2 linked regions of the Astyanax mexicanus genome follow. The protein of the gene in region 1 purifies or fractionates together with the protein of each later gene. This does not show direct contact. Links are inferred from orthologs where the notes say so. Each region holds a gene or a part of one and is shown in the gene's direction. Other genes may lie near its edges.

Region 1 (15,639 bases):
AAGTAAACTGGGGAGAAAATTGGGAGAAAAAAATTGAAATAAAATTATTTTTAAAAAAATGTTCTACATTGTAGATTAATACTAAAGTCATCCAAACTATGAAAAACAACATATAGAATTATTTAGCAAATATAAAAGTTTTTAAACAAACCAGAATATGTTTTATATTTTAGATTCTTTAAAGTAAGGCACCTCTTGCCAAAATGACAGTTTTGCACATCTTGGCTGGATTTTCTCAGTCAGTTTTATGAGGTAGAGTCACATTAAAAGGGCTTTCAGTTAACAGCTGTGCTGAACTGGTCAACAGTTAATTTATTTAAATTTCTTGTCTCTTAATGTGTTTCAGAGCATCAGTTGTAAAGAGGTGGAGCTGGTTTACAGTGAATAGCTCTATTTGAGTGATGTTCTAATCCAGATTATGGGAAGAATATCAATTAAAAAAATGTCAAGAACTTTGAAAGTATCCTCAAGTGCAGTCGCAAAAAATATTAAAAATGTTATGATGAAACTGGCTCTCATCAGGACTGCCCCTGGAAAGGGAGACCAAGAGTTTCCTCTGTTGTTCATCAGTTGATCAGATTTACCAGCTTTAGAAATCCCAAATTAACAGCACTCTTGATAAGAGCACCTAAATGATTCACAGCCTATTTCTTGGTTTGTTTAACACTTTTAAGTTAAAACATAATATCTTATGTGTTCCTTCATATTCTGGGTAACTGAATAAATTAACAATATTAATTTACAATGTAGAAAAAGAAATAATAAAAACACTGAATGAGAAGATGTGTCCAAACTTTTGACTGGTACTGTATATAAAGGGGTCTTTGAGTGAAACGTCTAAAACTAAATTATTTGTTTTAAAAACACAGAATTGTACATAGCTCTGATCTTACAATAATATATTCTGTTATCTCATAAACTGATAAAAAAAATCTCAAAATAAGAAAGACATAAAAATTGTGGGGTTTAAGTTAAATCTCTTTATAAGAACAACTGATAATGACCCAGCTAACAAGTTTTTGTTAGTACCAAAAAAATCTGAATGTTACAGTTAACTGTCTTAGAATGTTCAATCGGTCTAGTTTTCTGGATGTTCTTAGAACTTTTTTAACATATTTGAACGTTCTGGTAACGTCTGTGCAACGGCACTTGCGTCAATGTTTAGACTTTTTTGTTGCTGTTTTGGGAATTTTACCTTTAACGTTGCCATAACATTATTATTTGTCTAGCTGGGAATGTAATGAGATCAATGTTTTAATAACATTGTGATACAAACCTTTATTTTGTTACACATTACAGGCTAACCTTTCTTGAACCTTTTAGCTGTGGAGGACAGATGTTTGTAAAATATTTTTCAAAAAAATGATTCCTGTACAAAAACAAAATTTATTAAAATAGCAAGGGAGAATACAAAATGCATAGCAAGCATAGAAGCCCAGTATTTAGAGTTACCATTACAATAGATTTAGATTCTAATAATCATAATCATAGTCATTTAAGAGACTTTTCTTATTTACCATGACAAGGACCAGTAAAGCACACAAAAATGGACAAATAGTTTCGCACTAGATCTGTAGAGCTGTTTAGATGTTTTTTTCCCACATCATAATATACAGGGGTTGGACAATAAAACAGAAACACCTGTCATTTTAGTGTGGGAGGTTTCATTGCTGAATTGGAGCAGCCTGGTGGCCAATCTTCATTAATTGCACATTATTGCACCAGTAAAAGCAGAGTGTGAGGGTTCAATTAGCAGGGTATAAGAGCACAGTTTTGCTCAAAATATTGCAATGCACACAACATTATGGGTGACATATCAAAAGAGGACAAACTATGGGTACACGTCTTGCTGGTGCATCTCTGACCAAGACAGCAAGTCTTTGTGATGTATCAAGAGCCACGGTATCCAGGGTAATGTCAGCATACCACCAAGAAGGACCAACCACATCCAACAGGATTAACTGTGGACGCAGGAGGAAGCTGTCTGAAAGGGATGTTCGGGTGCTAACCCGGATTGTATCCAAAAAACATAAAACCACGGCTGAACAAATCACGGCAGATTTCAATGTGCACCTCAATGTGGTTTACAAACAAAAACATACTAACTTTCCTCAAAAGCCTTTGGCTATACTGTGTATGTAAAATACATATGTGTAGGCTTAGGCTAGAACATACTGTAAAGCTGGATATTCTGCACACAAGAAAAATGCTGCTCCAGAACATGTACTTGGTGTACTCTCTCCTATATACTCAATATCTCCTATTTACAGTACCTAGGGTACTCTCTCCTTTCCTCCATTGTGCTCAACATCACTTTGCACTTTAGAGCAAAATCTAGCGAGAAGGTTTCTGCATTAATGCATTACATTCACATGCTTAAAAGGGGGAATAACAGGTCATCCACAACCATTGCAAATTACAATGCAGTCTGAAAGCGGGCTGCTCTGAACAGAGTGTACTGCAGAGACACACTGTCTCCAACCATTCTAATTGTTCAGCTGTCAGTCAAAAGAATTTCAAAACAAACCAAAGCGTGTGTGGAGCTGCCAATCTCAGAGCTCTCAAATAAACCACTGGTACATCCTGGACAACTTCAAACAGCCAGACATATCTGCCCATTCCCAGCTTTCCTTTACACATCCAGCATTCTTTTAAACTGGTGTTGCTTGAAAAAAAAAATCATTTCAATGACCTTCTCAGTACATTAGCCAGGATGTTCCCGCACGTTCACGAGTGTACAGGTACAGTCTTAGTGCTCTTGTTATGGTGTTACAAAGACAGGACACCAGGGGAGGTTTATGTTGGTATTGCACACACACAGCTCTGCAGTTTAGCGGTGCTGAAGTAGTGACAGATCAGTCATGGAGGTCTCCAGTCTAACAGATCTGATCTGCCCTGAAATAGCCCTCACACTTTCTCTCTTTCTTTGTGTTTTTGCAGATTTGTATGTGTGAACAGTATGCTGACCAAAGGACAACTTTTAATATTCTTACACCAAATGATTTTAAGCAATTTCACTGTTACAAACAAATTTCCAGTGTCAGGATAAAATCATAAAAGTCTTGCTAGAATTAAGTTGCGGTCCTGTCATCTCAATTGTTCAGCGTAAGGTGGTTAGGATTGAAGGTCCAAATTAATCTTGTCCTCGTCCTTGTAAAAAGGTTTCCCTTGTGGTAGTGGAGGTGAGTGTTAGGTAGTGGACAGCGGGATCAAAAAAAAAGTCTGTGGTGATCCAAGGTAATGGTGTTTTGTTTTTCTTTTTTCAATATTGTGTATACATTTTATAAGGTGTTAGCTGATGTTCTATCTTTTTGAGCATTATAATTGGGGGGGAGAAAGCGGGGTTCGCCACAGAAAGAAGAGCCAAAATACCTTCAGGTCAATTCCAACACCAAAGTGGCGTTTTCTGTACAAAAAGAAATAAAACTGGTCAAATCTGACCATAAACACAGGACTCCACACAAGCAAATACTAGCCCTTTTAATCAGCAGTGCTTTAGACAAAATTAATCCCTGCCCACAAGTGTCTCTACCTGCCCTCATATACCTCTAGCTCCGCCCCTTCCTCAATTGGGCCATACCATTACTACAGGGTTATGTAGGGTTACTTAAAGGTATACACACACAAATATATACAAACACACACAAATATACATCAATGTCGACATTATTTACACCACACTTACATACAGATTTTTGGAAATTTCACTAGATGGTAAGTATTAACATATTTTTGTACTAACTTTTCTCTCCCCCAGGTGTTCCAATAAGAAGTCCCCCCCATCTTGTAGTACATACGGAGCACCATGATACTACAAGAAGGGGAGTTAAGATGGCCACCATTCCCCAGAAAGACCCCCAAGGTACAAAATGAGAGGAAGTGGTATTGGCCAGACTGAGGGTGGGGCACAGTAGGCTGAACAGCACTCTTGTTAGAATGAACAGGCATGTTGATGGTACCTGTGAATAATGTATGGAAAGCCCAGAAACTGTAGAGCATGTCCTAATTCACTGTAGGAAATTCCAGCAAGAGAGACAGACTCTGATTGAACAAGTAGAGGCCAATGACACAGCATTCAGTCTAAAAAATATCTTACAAAGAAATATTGGAAAGATTTTATATTGTTTTATTTACTTTTCTGTAAGAGACAGGTCTAATTAGACGCATTTCATTTCTTAGAAGAGGCAGCTACTGTTCCACACTCCAGTCAAGCGGTGGCGGTAATACACCAAAGTCGTTGTCAACCGCCATTCACGAGGAAAAGAAGAATAAGAAGAAAGACCCTCAAAGGACAACAACCAGGTAAGTATATTTTTTAGTGGTGTCAATGGATTCAAAAAAATTATCAGATTAATCACAACAAAATTCTGTGATTAACTGCGATTAAACGCATTTATTTTTCTTCTGATGTATATTTTTATAGTGGATATTTAAATGTAAATCAAAGAAAGAACGCAATTATATGTATATTGATAATGTCAATCAAAATAATAGTATATACTTGTATGTTTGAGGGGAGATAAAATCAACGTAGGGTGCTGAAATAAAGAATGCATAATAAACTGGACTGTAAAATTGGTTCAGAGGATTTCTGAATTTGAACTTAATTTGCACTGTAAGAGCGCTCGTTCAGCCAGACAAGAGATCAGTGCGTTGGGTGGGGCAGATTATGGCAGAAGTAGGGGTCAAGCATTTTAAGTTTCTAATAAGCATTTATAAAACGTCATGATAGGCAATGTAAGGCTTGTAATTGGGATCCACATATTCTTAATCTTTTCTTTATAAATCTTCCTATCCGCTTGATCCATTTCATGGTTGCAGTAAAATTAAGGTGAGAAAAGAGCCCAGACCCAGACAACCCTGTTCCCAGCTCATTCTACTACCACTTCCTTCCTCTACCACATCCCCAGCATTCCCTTGTGTCTCATAGCAGGTGGTCAGACTGAATACACCTCCACTAGAAATTGACTAGGGATCCTTTTCAGATTCCTAATCCGCTTCAACTGACTCCCCTCAAAACAAAGGAGCAGCAACTCTACACCTAGCTTCCCTCATCACAAAAAGTAAGACCAGCTTTGGGATGTAGATGTGCGTTCATTTTGGTCACTTGCATGCACAAATCCACAATCTGTTTTTAATCAGTACATAGGCTTCCTTACCATGATTAAGAGCTTCACATAATTAAGTGTATTCACCACTAGGGCCCAACACAGTGAGTGCTTCTCCCTTTTCAAATCACTTGTGATCAAGGCTCTTCTTTTGGGCCCATGTGTGCTTTTTCTGTAGGTACACTTGATCAAGTGTGAAAGCTGCTTTCGAGCCCAGGATCGGCTAAAAATGGCTTTTGAAGACAATGCTAAGCATTTACACTACTAAAATACAACATTTATTAAAAAGACACTGTTTTAAAATCAATAATGGAGAATGGCAATAATTCTAAAGAGAAGATTCTGAGTACAGTACCATTTAGTACTGTACACTTTGACATTTTTGCTAGCACATGATTAATAAATTTAGCATCATGATGTTAAGTCACTACATTACACATCTTGCACTCCTACCTTATTGAAAGGACAAATATTTCAATTTGCAAGCCAGGTTTATAAGCCCATCAGAAATACACAGGCACAACTGAGGTTCCAGCATTACTTTATTTTTACGTAGACATTGTCTGATCATAGGCTTTGGAATAAAACCGTAATGATAACAGCATATACATGCAAAGCATAAGTTATACAAAGCTGTACAAGTCAATGTATAAGGGGCAACGAAATAATTTCAATCAAACCTTAGAAAAATACATTGAGGTAGAAAAGGAGAAACTAATTATTTTAAAAATAAAAAAATAAAATAAAATAAATATCCCACACTACTCAACTTCTCATTCTCTTTTAATAATGGCACTTTCCAATCTAGATTTAAGGTCAGAGCAAAAGACCTCTGGTCTAAAATTACAGGCTGTGGCAAATGTCAAGGCTGTAGCATCAACAGGGCTCCACTGCATCCAAGGGCTCAGAAGGCAGATTCTGGTAAAGAAAAGAAATGGATTATATAGACAAAGCATCAGATTTATCTTGCACCAAAATTCAGTAATAGTCTACTGGGGTTCAACAGATTTGACATTTAAGAACTTTAAGTTTCAGACTTTCCCCCACTCACCCTAAAGTCTGTAACAGAATCAATGACCACTAGATACAGAAACTTAGAGCATGAACAGATTAAACTTTAAAATTAAACTTCGTTTAATTCCTTTAAAAAGTTAATTTGCTTACCTGACTAACTTGACCTGGTCACCTACTGCAACAGCCACAATCCACATGTCTTTCCAGCATCTGTAAATAAAGGTGGTTTAGAGGAATTCAAACCTGAGAAAATTGGCAATGTATTTAAGAAAACTTTGTTTCTCCCGACAGGATCCGAAGCAAGGAATATTAAGCCTTCACTTCAGGTTTTTGAGAGAGTTCTTCTACCCCCCTGTGTTAATCATTTAGGACATAATTGGTCTTAAATGGGCAATAAAGGGGATAAACAAGTATAAGCAACTTTAAAGCTCAATTTCTAAAAGGACTTACCAGCTTTGTGCAAGACACCTCCCATTTCAGACAGGGGCTACATCTGCATACCTCTTATCTGCAAACATAAGGCAATCACATTAGAATGGTCACTGGTAATAATCTTTGATTTTTAATGCGTATAAAAACATGTTTCTCCCGACAGGATCCGAAGCAAGGAATATTAAGCCTTCACTTCAGGTTTTTGAGAGAATTAGTCTACCCCCCTGTGTTATCCATTTAAGACATGGCCAGTCCTAAATGGGCAATAAAGGGGATAATTGTGTGCATGTTTCCAAAACATTACTAAATTTGATTAGTCTTGTTGCTTTCTCTCTTAAGCAGTTAATTTTACCTACTAAGTGCTGGGTTCCAACTACAAACCAGGACAGCTTTCCTGTGTAAACGACCATATCAAATTTGAAAAACTACCTCACATGCAGAGAAGTAAGAATGACTCAGATTAAAATGTCATTTAAAGGCAAAAACTAAGACTCACCTGAGGTTTTGTGTAGAGGGCATTATTCCAGCCTGAATCCACACTTGCAAGCCACTTCTGAAAAGATGACAAAAAAAGAAAAGAAAAAAAGAAAAAGAAATCACATTTAAAATCAGCTACTGTTAGAAGATTAACTATTAAAACTTTTAGGTCAATTATTAGACATGTTTCTCCCGACAGGATCCACAGCAAGGACTATAACCTGTGCCATAGGTTTTTGAGAGATTTTTTTTTTTACCCCTAGTATATTGATCATTAAGGACATGCATGGTCTTAAATGAGCTCCACTGAGGGGGTATGTATCTCGATTTTAAATAAATAAAAATAAAAACACCCTAACCTTTGCAGTTACCATTGTAGTGCTCATTGAAAGCTTCAAAAACCACTTAACCAGGTGGTTCAGAACTCCAACCTAGAATATCAGAAAGGACAGGCATTGAAGTAACATGAAGACTGCGAACACAAATGACAAAACCAAGATAATTATATTTATAAATATAATTATAACTATTGTCAGTAGACAATAGTTTACAGTTTCTGTGGAATTAATAAAAACGTAAATCTTGTAGTAAGCTAACTACCTGTACCACATGGGTAAGCTAACCGCTAGGTAGCTAATAAAGTAGGCCCAACCACACAACTCCCACGTGTTCATGGGGTTTAAAAAAATTACAGCCTAGAATATAAAACTTTTCCAACGCACTTACATGCAGCCAATACAAGTTTAAGTAACAATAACTTAGTTAAGTTAAGTTAACTAGTTAGCTAACAAGATACTCTAACGATAATCTAACCAGAAGTATTTAGCAGTGCTAACTACCAGAGCTAGCAGCACATTTCTGACTTCTCTAGTCAACAAATATATCCATATGAAACCTAACCGCAGCTGATTTAATGATGCAGATCTGATAACAGGTTTAACATCTAAACACAGCATGAATGTTGGTATTCTAAACTCTCACCTTCCAAACACGCCCTAAGACACAGCTCCATCTGCTCTCAGCTGCAGAACAGAAAGACCAGAGTCAGGCTCGAGGAGGGAGAAACGAGCAGAGAGGAGAGAGAGGGGGATTATGGGACTTTTAAAGACACAGGCACGCGCTGGATCCACTACACACATACAGAGGACTCCTCTGAATAACATATGTTATGTTAGCTAAACTAACTGTTCACATCCTTGATGAACAACACATATTTAATATAATTAGCTTACTGTCATGTTTATTTTACACGCTTGTTTAAAGTAAAGTAATTAAAATAAAAAGTAGATAAATGTAATTACATTTTTTTTATTCTTAAAAGTAGACGTTAAAATTACGTTTCCTTTTTTGTATTCTAAATATAAGTATAATTCGATAATAAACAGAAATTAATATGTAGTTTATTTGACACATTTTAAAAACACAATAATTTCCTGAATGAATATTCTCTCATTGGCTACAGTGTACAACACTGGGCGTTTGCGGAACTGGATCCATGGCTCTCATTGGTGGAACAGCATGTCAATCACAGTAAAGCCAGCCCTGGTTACCCTAACTTCAAAGCGGCTCGCCGTCAGAGTGGGCGGGGCGTGGGCGGGGCGTCCTGACTGGCTAGCTGGCTAGTTAACCTAGGTTACCTGCCAAGAGCAGTGATGTTTACTGCAGATTTCTCTCAGAATTTCAAAATAACGGCTCGATTTTAGCGACTAAAATGAATTGAGCTTTGTTTTGGAGATGTTTGTCTTTTAGACGGGGGGTTTGTTTGGCTCTGAGTGGAGAAAAACACTGCTCTAAGGGGGTAACGTTATAATATCAGTGTGTTGTGAGTCAGGGCTCGTCAGGCACTGCGGTTGGCCTCTCCTGGTCCAGCTGGGCTGCGGATCATCTACAGCTCTCAGCTCTGCAGCTTCTCCAGTGATGTTTGTTTTATGAAGATGTCGGCGAGGGGAACCCTGTGAACTAAATGACTGTCAGAAACATCGCCTCCATCTGTAATATGGTGAGTACACGGAGCTCTGCACCCATTGATAGGTTAGCTAACCTAGCATGAATGCTAGTCACCGGCTAGCTGGCTAGCTGAGCGCTTTGCCTGGTTGCAGGGATGCTGATGTCGAGGCTCGAGTTGATCCGGGGAGCGGGAGCAAGTGCAGGGGCTGTCCGTCCAGCTAACATGATAACGTGCAGATTCCCTGCTGCGTAGGTTTCTCTATTAGGACAAATGTAGGTTAGGAGAGGTTAATAAGGAGTTGCTGGCTTGGTTGGGCCATTAATATAACCTAGCTAGCGAGCTAACCTAGGTCAGGTAGTGTTAAACTAGAATGGATTAAACTTTATTGTTAAATGCAGCTAGAATCTAACCAGAAGTGCAGTATACAGCTCTGGAAAAATAAGAGACCACTTAAAAATGATGAAAACCTCTGGAATATAATCAAGAGAAAGATGGGTGATCACAAGCCATTAACCCAAGCTGAACTGCTAAATTTTTTGCACTAGGAGTGACATAAAATTATCCAAAAGCAGTGTGTAAGACTGGTGGAGGAGAACATGCCAAGATATATAAAAGCTGTTAAGCTGTGAAAACCAGGGTTACTATTATATCAAAAATTGATTTCTGAATTCTTAAAATTTTATGAATATAAACTTATTTTCTTTGCATTATTTGAGGTCTGAAAGCTCTGCATCTTTGTCAGTGGTTTATAGAATAAAACAGCAATGTTCAATGTACTCAAACGTATACCTATAAATGGCAAAATCATAGAAAAACTGATACAGAAATTGAAGTGGTCTCTTATTTTTTTCCAGAGCTGTAAATATATATAGAGAGAGAAATGCAGTATGCATGTACTAGGAGCAGCAATGCAAATGCAAATAAGGATATACACTATAAGAGCAGTGCAAATAGATGGTAATATGCAAAATAGAAAAATTACATCTGCAGTAGATGTTAACTTGGCTAGCTAGATATCCTAGCTTTACTCCCACAGACCTGAATCCTTAACTTTAATGGAAGTTGTATGAGCTAGTTCACAACTACAGTGACATATAAGGTTAGTTAGCAAATGTGGAAATCCAAAAGGCAGTTTTTGCTGTCAAAGAAGGAGGAGAATGATGACTGTCTTGAGAAATCCAGCTCAAAACCAGTTTTTGTTGCTGGTAGTTGGTTTCAGATTGTCTAAGCGGTCAATGGGGGTTAAGGTGGTTGAAAAGCTGGACATCCAGGCGAAAACATGACCAGCCTGCTGTTGATTTTTGCATTTGGGCCGTCCTTGGATATGCAGGCTAGTCATTCTGGTTGGGCATGCTGATCATCCATAATGGTCAAGCTTGATCATACTGGTTGTCTAACCTGGTCAGGTCCTGCTTATAGATCAGCTAAACCATAGTACTTAAACTAAAACTAAGCCTATGCTGCTGAAAACCAGTTTAACAAGCTTGACCTATGGAGTCTGTGGTCATGCATGTTATGCATGGGCAGACATGAAGAGCCACATTGACATCCATTGAAACTAGGGATCCAAATATTGAGTAATTGTTTGTAAATGCACCACACTACAGAAAGTGCTGGGACTAAAAGGCAAAGGGGCGGGATATTTCAAACAGTTACATTTGCTTAAGCTACTAAGCCTTAGTTTATATTCACGTTTTATCGGTTATTTTTTAATTTCCTATGGAAACTTGTGTAATGTTAAGGTAGAGACTGGAAAACAGGGTGACATTCACAAGTGCACAGACTTGAACATGGGAGATAAAACTTAGTGAGAGGGTGGCAGAAATCGGTGGCTAATCGACTATTTGGAAAAAAAAAGATTATCAGATTAGTAAGATAACAAAATATTCATTATTTGCAGCAATAAGTTGAAACTCACATTTGAATTTGAGAATTTCATTAGGATTACCCGTGTTTCTTTTTCATACTGTAGCTAGCAAACTGTGACTGTCATTAAGAACTCCAGACCAGACAGTGGACTAGCTAGTTACACACCTGAACATCTCTGAGGTGTACAAGTCACACCAATGTGATAAACTTAGCTATACCTATATGCTCTATGCAGTAAGCTTGGATTGTTTTCATAGTAAACAGTTTCTTCGCAAACCAGCCTTACGGGGCCATCACAGGTGCTGCAAAGCAGACATGTCAACATCAGAAACTCCCAATATAATCCAGAGTTTTTTAAATGAATAATAGAAAAGTCAGACAGGGCTCAGGTCAGTGCTCAGTCATTGGCGCTGTCTGATCGTTAAGCTGTCTGGCAGTTATTAAACTCAACTGATCTGAGTGATGTGTGGCGACCTGCTGTGCACAGGCTCAGGTGAAGTGCCAGAGCAAGTTAAGCAGCGAGCCAAGCTGACAGCCTGCAGCAAGCAGAGAGAGTTCTTAATCTGTACACATTGCCAGACCATTTGACTGCAAAGCCTTTTTTTCATGTTTTTTTCTTTTTCAGTAAAGTATTTCTCAAGTTTCACTAGATGAGAAGACTGCTTCCTGAATCTTTTCCTGAAAATCCATCTTGTAGGGCAGTTCAGTTCCTGTTCAAAGGAAGCAAGCCTCATCATCAGATTCTCTGCTTACATATGTATGATCAAATATCTTTTTCACATTTATCTATTTTGATAAATGTTTCAGGAATGTAGAAGCAATTCTGCAGGACAGGAATACTATATGATTAAAAAAAAACTGTATCACTATATTTACTAAAGCATCACTGCATTTTGTGATGTTTTGATCTGGTCAGCTTGTAAAGAGCATCACACAGTAGCAAACGTAACCTTAATCAGGCAGATGATTTCCAGATATGAAAGTTTATTTAGTTTGTGCATTTTGTAGATTTGCTCTATCAAAGCAAACTTTATATTTGTGGATCTAAGGATTAAAATACACATAAAGAGCTTAAAACAAACCTCTTGCCAAGAATTACACCAATATGTTATGACTATTATATTACACATTAATTGAAAACTGAATAGCAGTGTCACTTTATTCTCATACATCATACATCAGCACTGTGTGATGATTTCTTGCAAACATGGTGCTGGTAGCATTAAACGGAGGACGTTGTTTGTCAGCAATACTTTATTGTTATTGTTTTGTTTTTTTTTTACAGATATTCCTTAGTTTTAATGATAGTTCTGTAAATTCTGGCACTGTCTGTTTTTCAGTGTTCTAAAAAATAAACTCATATTTTGCATAATGCAGTACTTATGTTTCAGTGTAGACTTTTGGCAGTTCTTCTTGTCTTTTCGAGTGCAACACAGTGTGAAACCCAGAATATTTGCCCAGTATTACAGTCCTTACTCAGACAGGCAGATGGTGAGTGCAGGTAATGTGTCTGTGATGGCGGTGAATAGGATATGTTTAATGCATAATTTAATGGAATGTATGGTAGCATCCATGCTTTGCACAGACCAGACTGCCCTTTAATGTTGCTCATGGAACTATCGGCTGCCACTTGTTCGTTTATGAGAGATGTGGCTGCTTTATGCAGTGCATCAGTGTTTACAGCTACAGTGATGGGTGCTGTGTCCTGAATGGTAATGCTTATAAAGCTGGGGCTGTCTGTATCTTTAAAACCCATATTGTAATTTCAGGCCTCAATGAGCTTAAAGCCATTTAATGTTTGTGTAACACTGCTGAGTGCTGTAGTCTTTTAGTTTTTAATTGAAAATCTAATTGAGATATCTAACATGATCAGGCCTGGCCTGGGGTCTCGTTAAAGTATGTGTATCACTATGTGTTTGTGTTCTCCTCAAGTATTTCCTGATAGGATTATTTCCTGGACAGGGATTAATCTTACACTATAAGCGTTCACTATATTCTTTTTTCAATGGAGAATCTCCAGAGATGGAGAATCTTTTTAGATTCAAAAACCTTTGTAGTCCAAACTTAGGTATAATCTCTGTCTGGGAAACTGCTCTCATTGGTTTGGCTTCACATAGTATGTAATGACCTTTTTATTACTGGTAACGCCAAAGCAAATATGTAATCATAAACATAACCTGAAGCTGGAGCTGTGTATCAGATTAGCTTTTTTCTAGACATGTGTGTAATGTCACTGTCTAATGTTGTCTTAATGTTGCCTTTGACTTAATTTGCTTGCTGATAAAGTGTTAGATTTCGAGTTTTATCAACACCCCACAATATAACAAACATATATCATTTATTCCCTATTGTGCAGCCCTGTTTCTGCAGCTGAAGCAGCAACAGAAAGAAAGAAAGTCCAGCATTCTGGTTCTTGTAGACAAAAAGTCTACACACACATAAACTGCTACAAAACCAATGCATACCAGCGTGTCCATTCATAGCCATTCCACAATGATACTGTTCTATTTCTAAGCCTTTGAACTGGTGCTACCTCAATAGCCCTTGTATGAGTATAACATGCCTCCTACTGTAGGCAAAGATCATTTACAGTCCTAATGTCTCTGCTGCACAATGCAATACTTATATACCTTTGAGTCTGTGGCCACTTAATGTCTGCTAAGGTTGAAATGGAAGCCTTGCTGGAATTATATTCCCTCTCAGAGAGAATAAAAGCTGGATTGCTTTCTCAGGTCATTACAGACACACAAAGCACAGTGTGGCTATTTGACATCAATCACCTGTCGGTCATCTCCATAGCCTTTCCTGGGCCAAGACTTTGTCCGATAAAGAATTAATCGGTTGTACTGGGTCCATAAGTGGATGTAGCACTCATGACTGAGGCAATTGTTGCAGTTATTACGTTTCCATTCTCATAGCCTGCATTTCAGAAAGATTTTCAGATATACAAGAGTATGTCAATATTATAACAGAGATTTTTTTTTTAACATTTTAACACAACTAACTAGAAAAGTGAAATTCCTGTAAGAAAGAGAATGGTTGCCCAGAATGGTGTTCCTAAGGGGTTGCTATGGTGTTGCTGAGTGCTTGCTATAGTATTCCAGAAGATTGCAGCAGTGGTGCTGCTACAATGCTGCTAAATGGTTTCCAAGTGATTGCAGTGGTCTACTGTAAGTGGTGGCTCAGCTTGTTGCTAGTTGGTTTTTGAGGTGTTGACAAGTAGTTGCTATAGCATCTCAGGTGGTTGCTGTGGTAAATATAAGTGGATGCTAGATGGATGCTAGTGTGGCAAGGTGATTCCTATGGTATGTCAGACAGTTTCTGTGATATTAGTTAGTGGTTGTGAAGTTGTTACTGTGGTGTCTCAGATCATTGCCAAGGTGTTTTCAAGCGGTAGCTGTGATACCCAATATTAAGTGTTAGGGGTTACAAAAGTATTTGTATCACTGATACATTTAAAAGGTTCCAAAAAGTTGGCGCCTCATTCATTCCTATTGAACAAAATGTGTGAAACTGCATTGGTACATGGATTACGTCCTTCCAGCAGGGTCCGTACGGTCATAAAAAACGTAGATGGAATTTGAAAATAGCAATTTCCAGGCCTGGGTAAGTTTTGGAAAAATAAAAATACCCAGAAAGTTTTTTGCTTCCATTTATCGACTGAGAAAAGCTATTTGGAGCTAACAAATACATCAGCTCAGTTAGTTCAGTAAAAGGCTATAACCCTACACAATTAAGCTCTCAGGATTTAACACACATTTTATTATTATTAAAGATTGCGTCCACATTTATAATTATAGTTTTAGTTGAGTTTTGTCTGCACTGATGTTTTAAAAATCATATGTTCATGAGAATTTGCCGTGAAAACAGAAAAAAGTCATGAAAAAAAATTATGGAAATGTATTGGTCACAAAGTGTATGAACCCTGTTCCAATAAAAAGCTGTGTACAACAACATAGCATGGTTAAAATGGCAATGTGCTTGAAACAGTCAGGCTAGGCACATGTTTATTGATGTAGTTTGCTAAAGGGACAGAGTGTTTTATTTGGCTCTTTGATACGGACTGTTTTCGCCCTGGTACAGATTTAGTCAAGACACTGTTAAAACCCATAGATAAACTGAGAACAAAAAACATTTTCAGTAAAAGCAGAAACTGAATCACCAGGCTAGAGGAAAATGACCAATTAAGCAATTACACAGTTTGACAACACATGCTTCCTGGCACTCGGGCTGATCCATCTTATTTACCCATCCATTTATCCATCCATTTAATCTTGTGCAGTCTTGTCAGAACACGTGTAAACATATGATGTTCCCATATAATTATGAACTTATATCAGCCCGTGTTTACCGGCCTTTCATTTTTGATTGTTGCTGTACACTTAGTATGTAGATTTGAAGGAGAGAACAGATATTTAAATGCTAATATTTGCATCTAGATGTGTCAAGCAGCTTACTATATGGTGTATTTAGTTTGAATACACCTAATAATCTAAAAGTTGTAGAATATGTAAGTAACATGTTTTTATGTTGCCCATGTGTGCCCATCAGTGAAATGAAGAACATTTAGTTTGAGCCCTGGGTTTTGTCTGTACGTTAGTTATTCAGAAGCATTGAACCAAAATATAGCAGAGAGTTTTTTTTCTGTTTATCTTTAGCAGTACATAAAGTAAAAAAATGCTTCAGTATTTAGTTTTAATTACTTTGCAGTGTCCTGCAAAAACCTTTACAGAACAGGAGAAAACCTGTTTATTTTTTCCGGAAGGTAAAGCCTTTAATATTACCTGTATT
Region 2 (15,538 bases), on another chromosome or scaffold:
TGACCTAAAACATCATCAGTAGTTCTAAAATGATCCAATATTACATAGTAAAGTATGTGAACCTTTAGGATTTGCAGTCAGTTTAAATATGAAATTAGAGTCAGGTGTTTTTAATCAATGGGAAGATCAGGTGTGAGTGGGTCGAGCCTGTTTTATTTAAAGAACAGGGATGTCTCAAAGTCTGCTATTCACACACGTTTGTGGAAGTATATCATGGCATGAACAAGGGAGATTCGTTGATGCTCATCAGGCTGGAAAAATGTTACAAAACCATCTCTAGAGATGATCAGACAGATTAACGTGTACAAATGGAAGAAATTCAAGACATTTGTTACCCTCCCCAGGAGTGGTCAACCAACAAAGATCACTCAAAGAGCAAGTCGTGTAATAGTTGAGAAGGTCAAAGGACCCCAGGGCAACTTCTTAGCAACTGAAGGCCTCATCACATTGGCTAATATGAATATTCATGAGTCTGCCATCAGAAGAACACTGAACAAAAATGGTGTGCATGGATGGATTGCAAGGAAAAAGCACTAACCTCCAAAAAGAACATTGCTGCTCGTCTGCAGTTTGCAAAAAATCACGTGAACAAGCCACAAGGCTATTGGAAGAAGGTTTTGTGGAAGGATGAGATCAAAATATAACATTTTGGTTATAATTAAAAGGTTTATGTTCGGAGGAAGGAGAATACTTAATTCGAGCATAAGAACTCTAACCCATCTCTGGTGGTAGTATCGTGGTTTAGGTCTGTTTTGCTGCATCTGGGCCAGCTTTCATTGATGGAACAAGTAATTCTGAATCATATTAATCATATCTGTCCATGAACTGAATCTCAAGAGAAGGTGGGTCATGCAGCAAGACAATAACCCTAAGACGCCCAATCCATTTGATCAAAAATGGTTTAAGAAGGATATAGTATATGTTTTGGAATGGTCAAGTCAAAGTCTTGATCCAGTGGAAATGTTGTGGAAGAAGCTGAAGCAAGCAGTTAATAAAAGGAAACCCACCAACATCCAAGAGATGAAGCTGTTCTGTATGGAAGAATGAGCTAAAATTCCTCCAAGCGGAAACATTTAGGGGCTGGAGGGTGGGGTGTCACACCAGATACTGAAAGCAAATGTTCACATACTTTTGACTTTCAAAAGTATGTAATATTGGATTATTTTTGACAATAAATGAATGACCAAGTATGTTATTTTGTCTTATTTTTTTAACTGGGTTCATTAATTCATGCATCCATCAGAATGAAACTCTAATAACATGTATATACAGTTCTAAAACATGACTGAAGTGATCTGGGTCTCTGGGAATATTTACAAACATGTATAAGGAACAGACATGTTAAATGATGAATTGTTTGTGTGTGTGTGTGTGTGTGTGTGTGTTTCAGAGGCTCAAAGTGCAGAGAAAGTTCAGCTTAATCAGTTGGACAGCAACACACTCCTTGTTCTCATTGAGAGTAAGTAGAACATATTTGTAGTGACCACTTTGTACATTGTGCTTCCTCTTACTGGACACTTTATTAGAAACACTGTTTTGTACTTTGTTTGAACAGACACAGTACACATGGTGAACCTCGAGGGGGCGATAAAGAGTCACAAGAAACTGCACATGGAGATCAGCTTTCCTTTAGACGTGGAGTCAGTAGGTAAGTCATCACCGTAAAAGCATTAAGGGATTACACTGGATTTATATTACAAAATTATTCAAACATAAACACATTAATTTTCATCCTATATGGATAGAAATCATTTTTTACTTTCACTAATTTAGTAACAGTCTAGCCTTTAGCTCCTCCCCCCATAATGATTATATTATAATGATTTTATTTGTAATTTTTCAGATCAAACAAACTGTAATATCGGAGACAGATAACCTGAGTAAATACAATTTCTTAAGGGAAAAAGCAATTCCCACCAATTTGGCCCTATGTGAAAAAGTAATTAACTGTTATTAAACGCATTTTTGAAAAACTGATTTAAATTTCACTAGCCACAACCAGGCCTGATTAATGCCAGTCTACCGAAATTACACCAAAAGGGCATGGACAACTCACCCAGGAGGTTCCAAAAGAACCCATAACAACATCTAAAGAACTGCAGACCTCAACTGCCACCGTTAATATTAGTGTTAATGATTAAAAAATAAGAAAGAGGTTTCCATAGAGTTTCAGGCAAAAAACACTGCTGACCTAAAAAAACACACACAAAAAAAACACAAAGACATTTGCCAAAAAAAACATATTGATGATCCTTATATATCAATCTATCTATCTTTATGAATATACAGGAAAATATTTTACTTATGTATCATTATTTTAAAAATATTTGACTGAAACTAACTGAAAGTTAAAATCTGTAAACTCAGCCTTGTCTGTTTCGTAAACCACATTAACTTGCCAAAACTTTGGTAGACGCCAAGATTTTCTGTAAAACATTAATATTATAACAAAATAAATATGTTGTTATTTTAAAAAATCTACCACTGTCCTAAAGTGCAAATTTTGTGCATATAACTGCAAACATAAACAGTCATACAAAAATACCTTTAAAGCTAGGTAAATCAAAAGAAAAAAGGAACTCCACTGGTGCTCCACTGACTGAATACAACCTAGATAGAAGTTAACAATCAGATGTTTTTTGCTATCTTGGCACAGTGCATACACCGTGCTTGTTGCGTGGACATGCAGCATCACAAACCCAACATTTCCATCGATAATAAACAGAATACAACATAAAGTAACATTGCTGATGAGTCGCCTAAAGATTACTAAAATAATGCCTTAACTGGTCTTGTTACATTGAAGGCTCTTAAGGGGGAACCAGAGCCACACTTTGCTAGTGCTGATGTTTGTTTTTAGGGCTTGCATTAATAACACTATTTATTGAACTTTATTCAGTCATGAATTTCTCTTTTTCTAGTATATTTCGATGACACGTTGTTGGCTATATGGAAACATGGCTGGCAGAGGAGGGGAGAGGTCCTCTCAGAAATCCTACAGGAGATTACAGAACCTCGGAAAACCTTCCGCCTCATTGGCTCAGACAGGTACACACACATGCACATAGTAATCACAGACTCACCACAAATTCTGTACTGTAAGAGAGATTTGGACACAAACTAGTGTAGACTGCCAAATGTAGACTACCAAAAGTACAACTTCCAAACATGGTGGAGGTAGTTTCACCATCTACAACTCACAGTAAGAGCTAGCCAGGAAAAAGAACAACCTCAAACATGGTGGAGGTAGTTTCACACACTGTCACTTACTGTCACATATTCAAAGGAAACAATGTAAAACCATATATATTACAGCTGCTTTACTTCCAACATTATAGAAGTGTATTGAATTAGTGCTGTTATAATTGTTATACATAATTCTGTCATTGGTGTAAATGTATCTTTTGATCTTTCCATAGGCTGGTTGTCTTAGAGACACGGCAGAGCGAAGACCAATCAGGAATGTGTAATCTGTACATCCTGGAGATCGCTGAGAACTTTGTTCTCATTCCCTGAACACACACACGCTCAAACATATACACACAGGCATCATACATATGTGCACATACACACCATTTTCCTACCCAGCAACTGTGGACTGACACTGACATCAAACAGAAGCCAGGTAGCTGTGTGTGCACCACAAACACTGGACATTTCTGCTGACTCCACCCACACACACATTATTTGTGTGTATAATCTTCCTCTTTGCTTTGTTGTGAGTGTGTTTGGCAATTAAAACTCTTTCTGGATGGTTCACTGCGTAGGGAATTTCAGTCAACATCTGCAGCACACAACCGATTGTTCACAGAAAGCCACCAACGAAAAGTATTCAAAGTGTCAATTTCCAGGTTGTTTTTTTATGGGTGTTAAATAGTTATTTACAGAAAAGTTCATTTGAAAAACAGTCTATTTATAGTCCAAATGTATAGTATCAGTCAAAGGTTTGGACACAAATACCTTTATGAGGTAGGCAGCTGAAATGACTGTTCAGCTGTGCTGAACTCGTCAAGAGTTAATTACTCTTGAGAGCATCAGTTGTAAAGAGGTAGAGTTGGTATACAGTGAATAGCTCTATTTGAGTAATGTTCTAATCCATATTATCGCAAGAACTACTCAACTAAGTGAAGAAAAAAAATACTTTAAGAAATGAAGGTTAGTCAACCCAAAACATTTTAGGAACTTTGAAAGTATCCTCAAGTGCAGTTGCAAAGACTATTAAAAATGTTATGATGAAACTGGCTCTCATCAGGGCCACCCCAGGAAAGGAGGAGCAAGAGTTACCTCTGTTGCACAGGATAAGTTAATCAGAGTTTCCAGCCTCAGAAACAGAAACAAGTTAACAGCACCCCAGATAAAATAACCTAAATGCTTCACAGAGTATTTTGGTTTGTTTAACACTTTTAAGTTACTACATGATTCCTTATGTTTTCCTTCCGACTTCAGTATTTGTTTACAATGTAGGAAAACAAATACAATTAAAACATTGAATAAGAAGATGTGTCCAAACTTTTGACTAGTACTGTATATCCTTTCATCACCAATAGATTTTAGGCCCAAATCTGTGGTAATAATTATTCAGGCATAAGACAGTGTATTTATTATCTGGTGCAGTATATTTGAGAGAGTTTTAAAATGTCTGGTTCAGATACGGTTTAAAAAGTTTTTAAATGTCTGGTTCAGATACGTTTTTGAATGACTTTATTTACATCTTAGTAACTTTAATAAAGAGACATTTAACAAAAAAAATAATGTAAATCCTTGTGAAGAAGTATAGTCTCTTAACATGTGTTTGCCTGTATTTGAGGTAACATGTTAAACAGTTCCTGCTACTAAGTACTGTTACTACAGAAGTGCTCTGCATCCTCCATGAATGAATCTGTCAGGTTGAGGTGTTTCCATTAAGATTATCCACAGGATAATTCTAGAAGTCCCCACACAGTGACTGAATCTGCAGGAGTGAATCTGTTGTGTGTTGAAGAATCCCTGCACACCTGAGACAGGGACTGTTTCAGCACTCACCTGTTTTACACCTGAGTCCATCTGAAGATAAGATCTAAGGAGCTTACAGTCTGTGCCAGTTTTACATTTCCTGAGATGAAAAGAGTGAGATGATGTTATAATGTGTTTTATTGATAATAAACATACTTGTTTTGTACATTCTCTTTAACTGCTTTGAATTATTTAGTGTCAAATGTGAATGTTTTAGCATATACTGCTAGGAATTATGTGTACAATAAATTATTCCAATTAGGCCTATTATAATTCAATTAAGTATTCTGTAACTACTGTTTTTTCATTATATACTATGTATATACTGTATATATTTAGGTATCCATAATTAAGTGGTCAGTAACCATTCTAAAAAATGACAAATGTATGAATTATTATGGTAGTTTAAATGAGTACTGTGAATTATTAAGGACCCAACATGGGTACAACATAACTACTAAGAATCAATGAATTAGTGTGTATGACAATCTAAAAGTATGTACTCCAATGTACTACAAATTCAGCATATTAAAAAACTAACATTTTTGTTAACATTTTTGTTGGGGGAGCAGTAGCCAATCCAAGGCAGGATATACCCTTGACAAGCCACCAATTCATCACAGGTATTTAGTAACCATTCTGAAAAATATTTTAAATATTTATTAATTATTCAGTATCCAGTATGAGTTAAAAATGTATTGCTGCTTAAGGCATTAGTTTACTTAAATACTAAAAAACAGACTTTTACTGCAGGAATGTAACAAAATAACATTTAATTCTGGACCATACTGGTACCATACTACATGGTGATGTTGTGACTAGCTTGTTAGCTTTTAGCTAAAATGTTAGACTGCATAGCTTTTGTTTAAAATATAGTTATAGATTGTATACTGTATTATACTGTCTCTGATTCTGTAGTATGAATGCCTTGAATATGAACAGCTTGTCCTGATTAAATGAATAAAATAATTTTCTGATGATCTGGTGCTGGAGCAGGGAAAATACGGCAAGATTAAATTTTCATAACCATCTTTTTCCGGATCTTGATTTTAGTAAGCATGGAATGCGCTAAAACAGCCAGAACACTGTAACATGATTTAAAAAACACACTGGTGAATCAGAAACTTAACATAGCATTAGAAGATTAGCATTTTTTAAACTTGCCGAGACTGAGTAAGGCTTGGTGCAGATCTAGTCGTGTTTGAAGGGCGTGACAAAAAAATAAAAAGCCCATCCATTTTATGACTTTGGCGTGTACATGGGACTAAAACTGAAGATATAAATGGATGCAAAAGTTAATGACGTTTATGAATGGACGTGTGTTTTTAAACTTTGTGTTTGTGCCCTCACTCACAACATTTTACTTTGTCTTCAACATAAAATACAGTTCATCCCATTGTGAGGACACCCATAGAGCACTACACCACTTTTAATTTACTAACCTGTGAATTAACTAGATAATAAAAGCTAAGGTTCTTTGAATCAACATTCATTTTTCCTTCTCTAATGCATTGAAGGAATGGTGATCTAAAACATCAGAATTTAATAATTCGTCACTTATAACTTGATTCAATGTTGATTCAATTTTATGGTTTTAAATGTATGGTTTGAGTAAAATTTGACTTCCACACTTTAAAGAAAACATATGGAAATATTTAATAAACAAAAAAAGTGTTAATCAGAGTAAAAACAGAATATGTTTTATTTTCTAGACTCTTCAAAATAGCACCTCTTGCTTAGATGACAGCTTTGCTCATCTTAGCATTTTCTCAGTCAGCTTTATGAGGTTGAGTCATCTGGAATAGTTTCAGTTAACAGCTGTGCTGAACTTGTCAAGAGTTAATTACTTGAATTTCTTGCTCTCTTAGTGTGTTTGAGAGCATCTGTTGTAAAGTTGTGAAGAGATAGAGTTGGTATACAGTGAATAGCCATATTTGAGTAATGCTCTAATCCATCAACCAAGTAAAGAAAAAATACTTTAAGAAATGAAGGTCAGTCAATCCAAAACCTTTTAAAAATATGATCATCAAAAACGTCATGATGACACTGACTCTCATCAGGACCGCCCCAGGAAAGAAAGAGCAAGAGGCAAAGAGCAAAGAGCTCTTTGGCACAGCATATTCATCAGAGTTACAGCATCCCATCCATATAAGAGCCACCTAAATGCGGCATGTGGTATTTTGGTTTGTTTAATACTTTTTTTCTCTTAACACTTATTGTTTCTTTACAATAGGAAAAAAAAAATATTGGAGTGTAAAAGAGCCTCAATACTTTAAAGCCTTTTAATGAATGTTGACTTGATGTCAGAATTTAAACTGTGCCTGATGATGCCTATTAGGCAATGTTAAATAAAGGTTATTTTTCTTTTATCCCGTTTATAGATGTAATGCAACCAAAAATGTATTTTTATGTATGCTTTAAATGTTATTTGCTATCAATCAGGGTTAATGTATCCTCCTAGGGTTCTGAATGGTGTAGTGAGAGAATGGTGGTGGGGTGGGTGTATCTCTCTCCCTGTCTCTCTCTCTCTCTCTTTCACACACACACACACACACGCGCCTCACACATGACATCATGGCTGCGTTAGGGCCGGATCTGCTCGCTCTCGGGGAATGAGAGGCAGTGATTCTGCTGGTGTTTTCCTCTTATTTGCGTTTTAACCCCGGGCAGCTCCTCCACAAACCTCCAGCGACCCAAATGCGTCCGGCTGCGGCTCTCCGCGTCCGCCGCATCCCACCCTCTCATGCTCCGCGTCTGGCTGTAGTCTCCTCGCTCCACTGTTTCCAGGTCGGGCAGTCGGCGTTTCCTTGCGCTAAAGATGGCCGGCGATGGAGGCGCTCTGAAGGATATCAATGAGATCAAGTCCCAATTCAGGACCAGGGAGGGTTTCTACAAGCTGCTGACGCTGTCCGACTCCCAGCAGCGCGGCGGCTTACCGCGGGGGCCCGGGGGGGCGGGCACGGCGGCGGCCCCAGGCGCTCCGGGCACGGTGGGCGGCGTTGGGCTGGTGCAGGGCCCCGGTGCTGGGGCTGCTGGAGCTGCCGGAGCGGGGGCCGGGGGCAGCTCCTCTCCGGCTGGCTTTCTTCCTCCGGTGCGGGTCTCCATGGTCAAACTGCAGCCGGAGGACCCGAGCGAGGAGTCCGAGCGAGTGTGCTTCAACATCGGCAGGGAACTTTACTTCTACACCTACACCAACATCAAAAAGGTGCGGAGGGGAAGGGTGGGGGACGTAGCTAGCTACTGATTCAGGCTCAAATAGAGCTCATAGGGGTTGAACGTGGGTTCTGAGGTGCTTCTGTGTAGCTTCAATCCAGATGGGGCCCTTGTTTAACCCCCTTGTGGTCCCATTGCTGACCCTGGTGGACACCCATATGTCTGGCTCACGTGGGGGAAATGTTGTCTAGTTAGGTGCGTTCCATATGATGTAACTTGGACCCAGTTGGGCTTTCCAAATGGTTCACATTGCTACAGCTCACCTTGATCTCACTTGGGACCCATCTAACCAGGCCTTGTGTGCAGTGTAGCTATGTAGCTGTAGTCTATAACTGACCCTCACATAGGTGGAACGTGGTCTATCTAGGTTAGGTTAGATGGGTTCTGGGTGGGTTTATAACCAGTAAACATTACATGTTTTGTAAACAGGACCCAGTTGGGGTGTCAAGTGGGCTTCTTTGCTACCTTGATCTCATATGGAACCCATTTAACCAGGTCGTGTGTGCAGTGTATCTGTAACCCAGATTGGGCTCAGTATATGCCCTGGTAGACACCCAAATATCTGGCTCACATAGTTTGCATATTGTCATTCTAGCTGTGTGTTCCAGGTGGTATGAGTAGGTTTATTGTAGCTTGTTTCCTAGCTACATGTATTGTAACTTGGACCCAGTTGGGCTTTCCAGTGGCTTTTTTTTTTTTGCTACAGTCCATCCTAATGTCACATGGGTCCCATTTAGCCAGGCCCTTTGACAGTGTAGCTAGCATCTGGTACCATAACTGACCCTGGTGGGTACCCATATGAGAGGCTCACATGGGTAAAAGATTATAGGTGTGTTATACCCATGGGTTCCATGGGTTTTGGCTAGGTTTATAGTTAGTGAATTAGCTGGGTTACATTTGTTATAACTGAGACATCTAAGAACTAACAAGGCCCTTTGTGCAGTGTAACCATTACCCAGATGGTGTCAATGTTTAACACCACTTTCTGGTTCCCACAGGCATGTTTGCTAGCTAAGTATATGAGACAGCTTGCAGCACGTTTTGAAATTCACAAGTCTTAGTTATTTTACTATTTTACTACTTTTTTGAGTATTTGGGTCTAATCTAACCTACCTTTCTTCAGTGTAAATTGGATGTGTTTTGCATTTAGACGTTCACCCTATGTTTCTCCTTTTATATTTGAACACATTTTAAGCTGTTTTCTTCAAAAATACAATGAAATGTCTCTAATAAAGCGCATAGATGTTAACATAGCCTCTATTAAGTGCCCAGTTGTACAGCAGCAACCTGATCTTGTGGTGTTTAGCTAGTTATCTATCTAACCTATCTATCTGTTCCTCACAAATCCAAGGCAGATATGTTAGCTAGTTAGCCAGCTAGCTACGTTAGCTAGCTAGCTTGCTAACGCTAATAGCCCAGTCAGTTCACCTTAAGCTAAGCTACGCTAAGCTTTATAAATGCAGCCTTTCCCCGCTGATAAACCTGACATGGCGTTTATCCTCCTGTTTCTTCTTTATATTTGAACACACATTTCCTCAAATATACAATAACATATTACCAATAAAGCGCAGAAAAGTTAAAATATTGCAATATTATGGTATTTAGCTAGTTAGCTACTCACCGTTCCTCACAAATCCAAGTGAGAGATGTTAGCTAGCTTGCTAAGCGCTGCTAACGCTAGTAGCACAGTCAGGCCACCTTAAGATAAACTAGGCTTAATACACGCCGATTTTAACCATTTGTAAACCTGACATGCGTGAAATTAATTCGTGCTTTATATCTAATGACCGTAATTAACGCTTTAAAGACGGAATACACGCTTCTACTATATAAGAAAACCACTGAAAACTGTATAAAACAGAGGCTAACTAGTTTAGCTTAGCGTTGCCTAGCAGCGGCATTTGCACTTTAGCTAAGCGTTAGCTTAGTATAGTCAAGACAGGGCAGATCTGCACAGCCACCAAACAAACAGACGTTTGCAAGTGCCTAAATATTAAATATATTTATTTTACTTTGATGTTTACTGCGTATTATTTTATTAGTTCGGTTTTTGGTGTAAACTAACCTACCAAGATTCAGTATTGTTATCTAGCTCAATATGTAGCTAACTAGCTAAGCTGCAAAGAAGACATTCCAATACACATAATACACGACTAACCACAGTCTTACCAAAATATAACTAACTATTATATTACTGTTGTTTTCACATTTCTATATGCAATTTCAGTTAAATGCATGTTTGTTGCGTTTAATATGTGCTAAAAGGGTCAATTTTGAGGAAGATGTCCTTCAACTGCAAACACATCAATAAAGCAAAATAGCTGGAAGGCATTTTATGTGTCAGTCACACCGCTGATCAAAATTTATCTCTCTGACTGCACATATTACTGGGAAAACTTAATAAACAATTTTTGCTTATAAGATTTCAATAATATCAGTACAAGCCAGGCATTAGTAGACAGTTTTGAGTTCATAGCCTTTCAACTGGCATACACAGTGAAAATAAAGTGGTGAAAACTCAAAACTTCAAGGCAATTTACTGTACTAGATTGTTTTGAGGCAGACTCCTTTTGAAAGAAAGAAAAAACAGTTTTGAAGAAAACCACCAGTTGTGGAAACTAGAAAAGATTAAGATTATTCATTTTTCATATGTATAAAAAATATCTGTCCTTTCGGATCAACTAAAACAATTGTGTTCATAACACTACATTTTGTTTTTGTGTTAATTTAAGTTAGGAACTGGCCATTTGTGTTTATTACTTACCTATCTTACTGACAGTCAGTTGGTAATGCAGATGCGACCAGCTGTACCCAGCCACATTATAGTTATACTCAGCCACACAAAACAGAGCAACTTTCTTTAACTCTTCTTTTTCTTCAACACTGAGGCCACGCTGTTAGTCACAATGTTAGTTGAGAATTATTTTGCTATAGTTTACGGTGCATTAAAGTATGGTTTGTTCAGCTGACCCTAACTTTGATGATCCTGTTGAGGGTTGAGTCTGTAATCCAATCTATAGTTCTGCAATATTCTCCCAAAGCAGAGGCACAACCCAGAATCTGATTTATACATTATTTTCAGTCATCCTTTTACCTATATCCCTTTCTTGTTCTTGACTCACATTTTTAACACCAATTAGGATTTTAAAAATGACACAGTCCAAAACCAGGTACAAAACAAAAGCTGGTCTGGAGCTGGATTGTTTTGATCATGTTTAGTAGTTCTTGCGTCCAACCAAAACATAATTGGTATGGTTAACATAATGAAGTTTTCACTTAAATATCAGCATCTTGTGTGTTAGGAGATAATTATTCCAAGTGAGTAAATATTTGACTGATGTTTCAACCCTGTAATTCAGTTAATGCATTGTTGAATCTGCATTGTTTAAATATCTGCAATCTGCATTTTTTATGTGCATTAGTCACATTTAATGCACCAGAAAGTTTTAAAGTTTTAAGTTTAAAGCATCCAGAAAGTTTTTTTATGTGATTGTCTTTTTAAGCCCAGTCTAGATGATTTGTTGGCAGTCATCAGTAAGATAAGATTTCCGGGTATTTGAACGGAAAGCCTTGGGTATAGTAAAAAATCAGTTGGCTTTTAAGAAACCAAAGTCTGGATTTGGGTAGAAATAAAAGATATGCTTTGCCCTAACATTGTCATTTTTGCACATACAATATGACAAGGGCATAAAAATGGCACCTGTCCACTGTAAAATTTTTTGGTAAGATTACATTTTTTTTTTTATCTAGGTTTTTAACATTGGACTTTGGTTTATTTATTCAGTGCTATTCATATTTGTTCAATATTTTCAATATCTAATGCAACTTTCTATCCTCCTCATCTCTCTTTTTCTCTCTTTGTCTCCCACTTTTTCTCTTTCTAGGCAGTGGACCTTAGTAAGCCTATCGATAAGCGCATATATAAAGGGACACAGCCAACTTGCCATGATTTTAATCAGTATTCAGCCACTGCAGACAGTGTGGCTCTTATTGTGGGCTTCTCTGCTGGGCAGGTGCAGTACCTGGACCCTATCAAGAAGGAAACCAGCAAACTTTTTAATGAGGAGGTATGTGTTTTATACAACTTAAAATGGAAAGCAATTACGTTTTCACGGAATATAAGAGGTTTAAGTACTGCCCTCAAATCTTATGCCTCTTTATTTCTTTTTTGCATTTCAGAGGTTAATTGACAAAACTAAAGTGACATGTCTAAAGTGGTTGCCTAAATCAGAAAACTTGTTTCTGGCCTCCCATGCCAGTGGCCATCTCTACCTCTACAATGTGGAGCACCCATGTGGCACTACAGCGCCGCAGTATTCACTACTCCGGCAGGGTGAGGGGTTTGCTGTCTATGCCTGCAAGACCAAGACACCTCGAAACCCTTTACTGCGCTGGGCCGTGGGAGAAGGCGGTCTAAATGAGTTTGCGTTTTCGCCTGATGGTGTGCACGTAGCCTGCGTTGGCCAGGACGGCTGCCTCCGTGTCTTCCACTTCGACTCTATGGAGCTACAAGGTGTCATGAAGAGTTACTTCGGTGGCCTGCTCTGTGTCTCCTGGAGTCCGGATGGGAAATACCTGGCTACAGGCGGCGAGGATGACCTGGTCACTGTTTGGTCGTTTGCAGAAAGTCGAGTGGTGGCGCGAGGTCACGGCCATAAGTCGTGGGTCAACGTTGTGGCTTTTGACCCCTTTACCACCAGCTTAGAAGAAGACGAACCAATGGAACTCAGCGGCAGTGAAGAGGACCTCCACCAGGGGCCACTAAACTTTGGCCGTGTGCGTACTAGCAGCACCCTATCGCGTCTGTCTCGCCATAGCTCCAAAGGCACTCCGTCCGTGTCGTACCGTTTTGGATCCGTCGGACAGGACACACAGTTTTGCTTGTGGGATCTTACGGACGACGTTCTCTATCCGCGACTGCCGCTGTCCCGCGCACTCACGAACACCTTCGGCCCAAACATGCCACCTTCCATCAGTGGAGGGATGAACAGCACAAGTGGAAGTGGAGTAGTTGAAGGTCACCATCACCCCACCAACCCCCACCAGCCCCCGACGCTGCCCCTGCCTCTACCTCGATCGCTCTCCCGCTCAAACTCCCTCCCTCACCCTGCTGTTGCGAACACCTCCAAAGGGCAGGGGACAACAGAGAGCGGAGGGACAGGTGGGAGTGGCGGCGGTGGAGGAGGCACCCCATTTAGCATTGGACGCTTTGCGACGTTATCGCTTCAAGAGCGCAAATCGGACAAATCCGGTGTGGGGGGGGAAAAGGAACACAAGCGCTACCATAGCCTCGGGAACATTAGCAAGAGCAATGACAAGATCAACGTAGCGCCACGTAGCAACAGGCTGGACGCCTCAAAGGTGCTGGGAACAACACTGTGCCCACGGATGAATGAGGTACCGCTGCTGGAGCCCCTAGTGTGTAAGAAGATCGCCCACGAGAGGCTCACCGTTCTTGTCTTCATGGACGATTGCATCATTACAGCATGCCAAGAGGGGCTTATCTGTACATGGGCGCGGCCAGGTAAAGCGGTGAGTTCTTTAGTATTACTGTTTTACTGCCAACCAATCTGTCAAAAAAGGTTGTGATTTGTAATATTTTAATTTAGGTTAGGATAGCTAGCTTGGAAATGGTAAAATGATTAATGAACCACATGGATTAGTTGCATTCAAGGGTAGTCTCAGAACCAATTAGGTGGTAAATAGGACCAATCACAGTTAAGGCTTCAGCATACTTAATGCCAAGACTGAATTAGCAAACATTGCACCCTATCACCCTATCACAAACATTGTGATGCAGTTGTGGAGAAAGTTCCCTGTGAATTGAATCTGGGCAAACTCCATGGCCATAGACAGTACGCGACAACACCTGTGATTGGTCGCGCCATGAAAACAAACATGGGCGATTTTAAAGATACGGAGGTCGGCATTAGTAACTAACCCTTGGTGCTCTTCTTGGAACCCCACGATTCCCTCACTCTGGATTTAATTTTATTGCATTTCAAACCACCCCATATGTAGTTTGGATCAGATTTGTAGCAAATCTAGATAATAATTATACCATCAAAATAACAGTTGTAAAGATAAGGTATAATCACAGTTAGGTGGAGGCCTTTGAACATAATGTATACTTTATGTCCTGGTCACTAATTCTTTTATCTCTTTCTTACCTTGTTTTTTTCTAGCATCTTTCTCAACCATTGTCGACGCAAAATGGGAACTCACCAAGTGGGACAGTGGTATAGCCGGTGGTGGCGCTTTTCACTTGATCACCTGCAGCCACGTCCTGTTTCTGTCCTGTTACTACAGGCGAGACTTGCTGTCCTTGAGGCCAGGACTTGGTCTGTCACAGTGTTCCCACTGTTACATCCAAACGTGTACCCTCACTTCAGAACTGTCACATCCTCATAACCACAGACATACAGTAGATACACATGCACACACCTGCAGCTGATTTAAAGACTACTAACACACACATACAACACATATAAGGACATTGGCACAATCCAAGTCACAAGTATAGTAGGCATCCTAACTCCCGTGTCTGTGCCCTCCGCCCCATTCCCTTTGGACTGCAGAGAAGCGGGGAGATCGACACATTCCTTCCGTCACCTTTAAAGGATGAAACGAGAGAGTAAGAAAAAGAAGGAAAGAAAATAAGAAGAAAAAAAACTGCAAAAGCCACAATGCCACGGCCATCATATATGTATCTTATTTATTTATTTTATCATTGAAACTGTAATAATTTATATTGTACATATTCAGAATACTCTATAAAGGCAGAGGACTAAATGTATTGAAATAATGAACTGAAATAATTAATATATGAAGATCCTATATTGTACATAGTGACAGTTGCATTGAATGTTTTGAGAAACTTGTAGGGAGATTTAGTGTGTCCGTATGCTAGCTCTCCTTACGCTGACCATGCAGGCCAATGAGTAGGGCTTGATGAAGTAGGTGCTTTCTAGCCTTGATTAAGAGTTGGCCTAAGTGCATTTTCTCAGACGGCTAGGCTCATCAAGAACGTCCTAAAAAGCTGCGAAAGCTGTGCGTTCAGCAAGGCTAACATCCTAGTCCTGCTAAAATGTTGAGGTAAGTTTCTCTTAGATTTTAACAATTCATAAATACTTCGGCCAGACTGTGAGAACCCCCTCTGCTGGTGTATCTTGAGGGTAAGAAGGACTTCGGAAGAACTACATAACTGCTTTAAGGTGGACTGTTAAGGGTCATGTTTGGAATACTTGTAGCTTTTAAGGGTCATGTATTTTACTTGTATGTATTCAAATGAATACACCAATTTCAATCTTTGTAACAGTCACTACCTACATAG

Evidence for each region.
Region 2: the proteins of usp46 (region 1) and zmp:0000000529 purify together in Homo sapiens (affinity purification with mass spectrometry; 5 studies listed by BioGRID and IntAct, counting the BioPlex papers as one, with this or other methods). This does not show direct contact. The link is inferred for Astyanax mexicanus from reciprocal best matches to the Homo sapiens genes USP46 and DMWD.

The regions. Positions count from the first base shown.
Region 1 is NC_064408.1:65,038,908-65,054,546, forward strand, and holds the start of usp46 (ubiquitin carboxyl-terminal hydrolase 46), read left to right. Parts: upstream 1-8,632; 5' UTR 8,633-8,994; coding exon 8,995-9,030; intron 9,031-15,639. UniProt on the Homo sapiens protein: Deubiquitinating enzyme that plays a role in behavior, possibly by regulating GABA action. May act by mediating the deubiquitination of GAD1/GAD67.
Region 2 is NC_064425.1:7,357,178-7,372,715, reverse strand, and holds the start of zmp:0000000529 (WD repeat-containing protein 20), read left to right. Parts: upstream 1-7,531; 5' UTR 7,532-7,810; coding exon 7,811-8,197; intron 8,198-12,089; coding exon 12,090-12,272; intron 12,273-12,384; coding exon 12,385-13,737; intron 13,738-14,390; coding exon 14,391-14,450; 3' UTR 14,451-15,538. Other genes in the region: mitogen-activated protein kinase kinase kinase kinase 5-like, read left to right, coding at 1,391-1,459, 1,556-1,648, 2,922-3,048, 3,420-3,516. UniProt on the Homo sapiens protein: Regulator of the deubiquitinating USP12/DMWD/WDR48 complex. Functions as a cofactor that promotes USP12 enzymatic activity.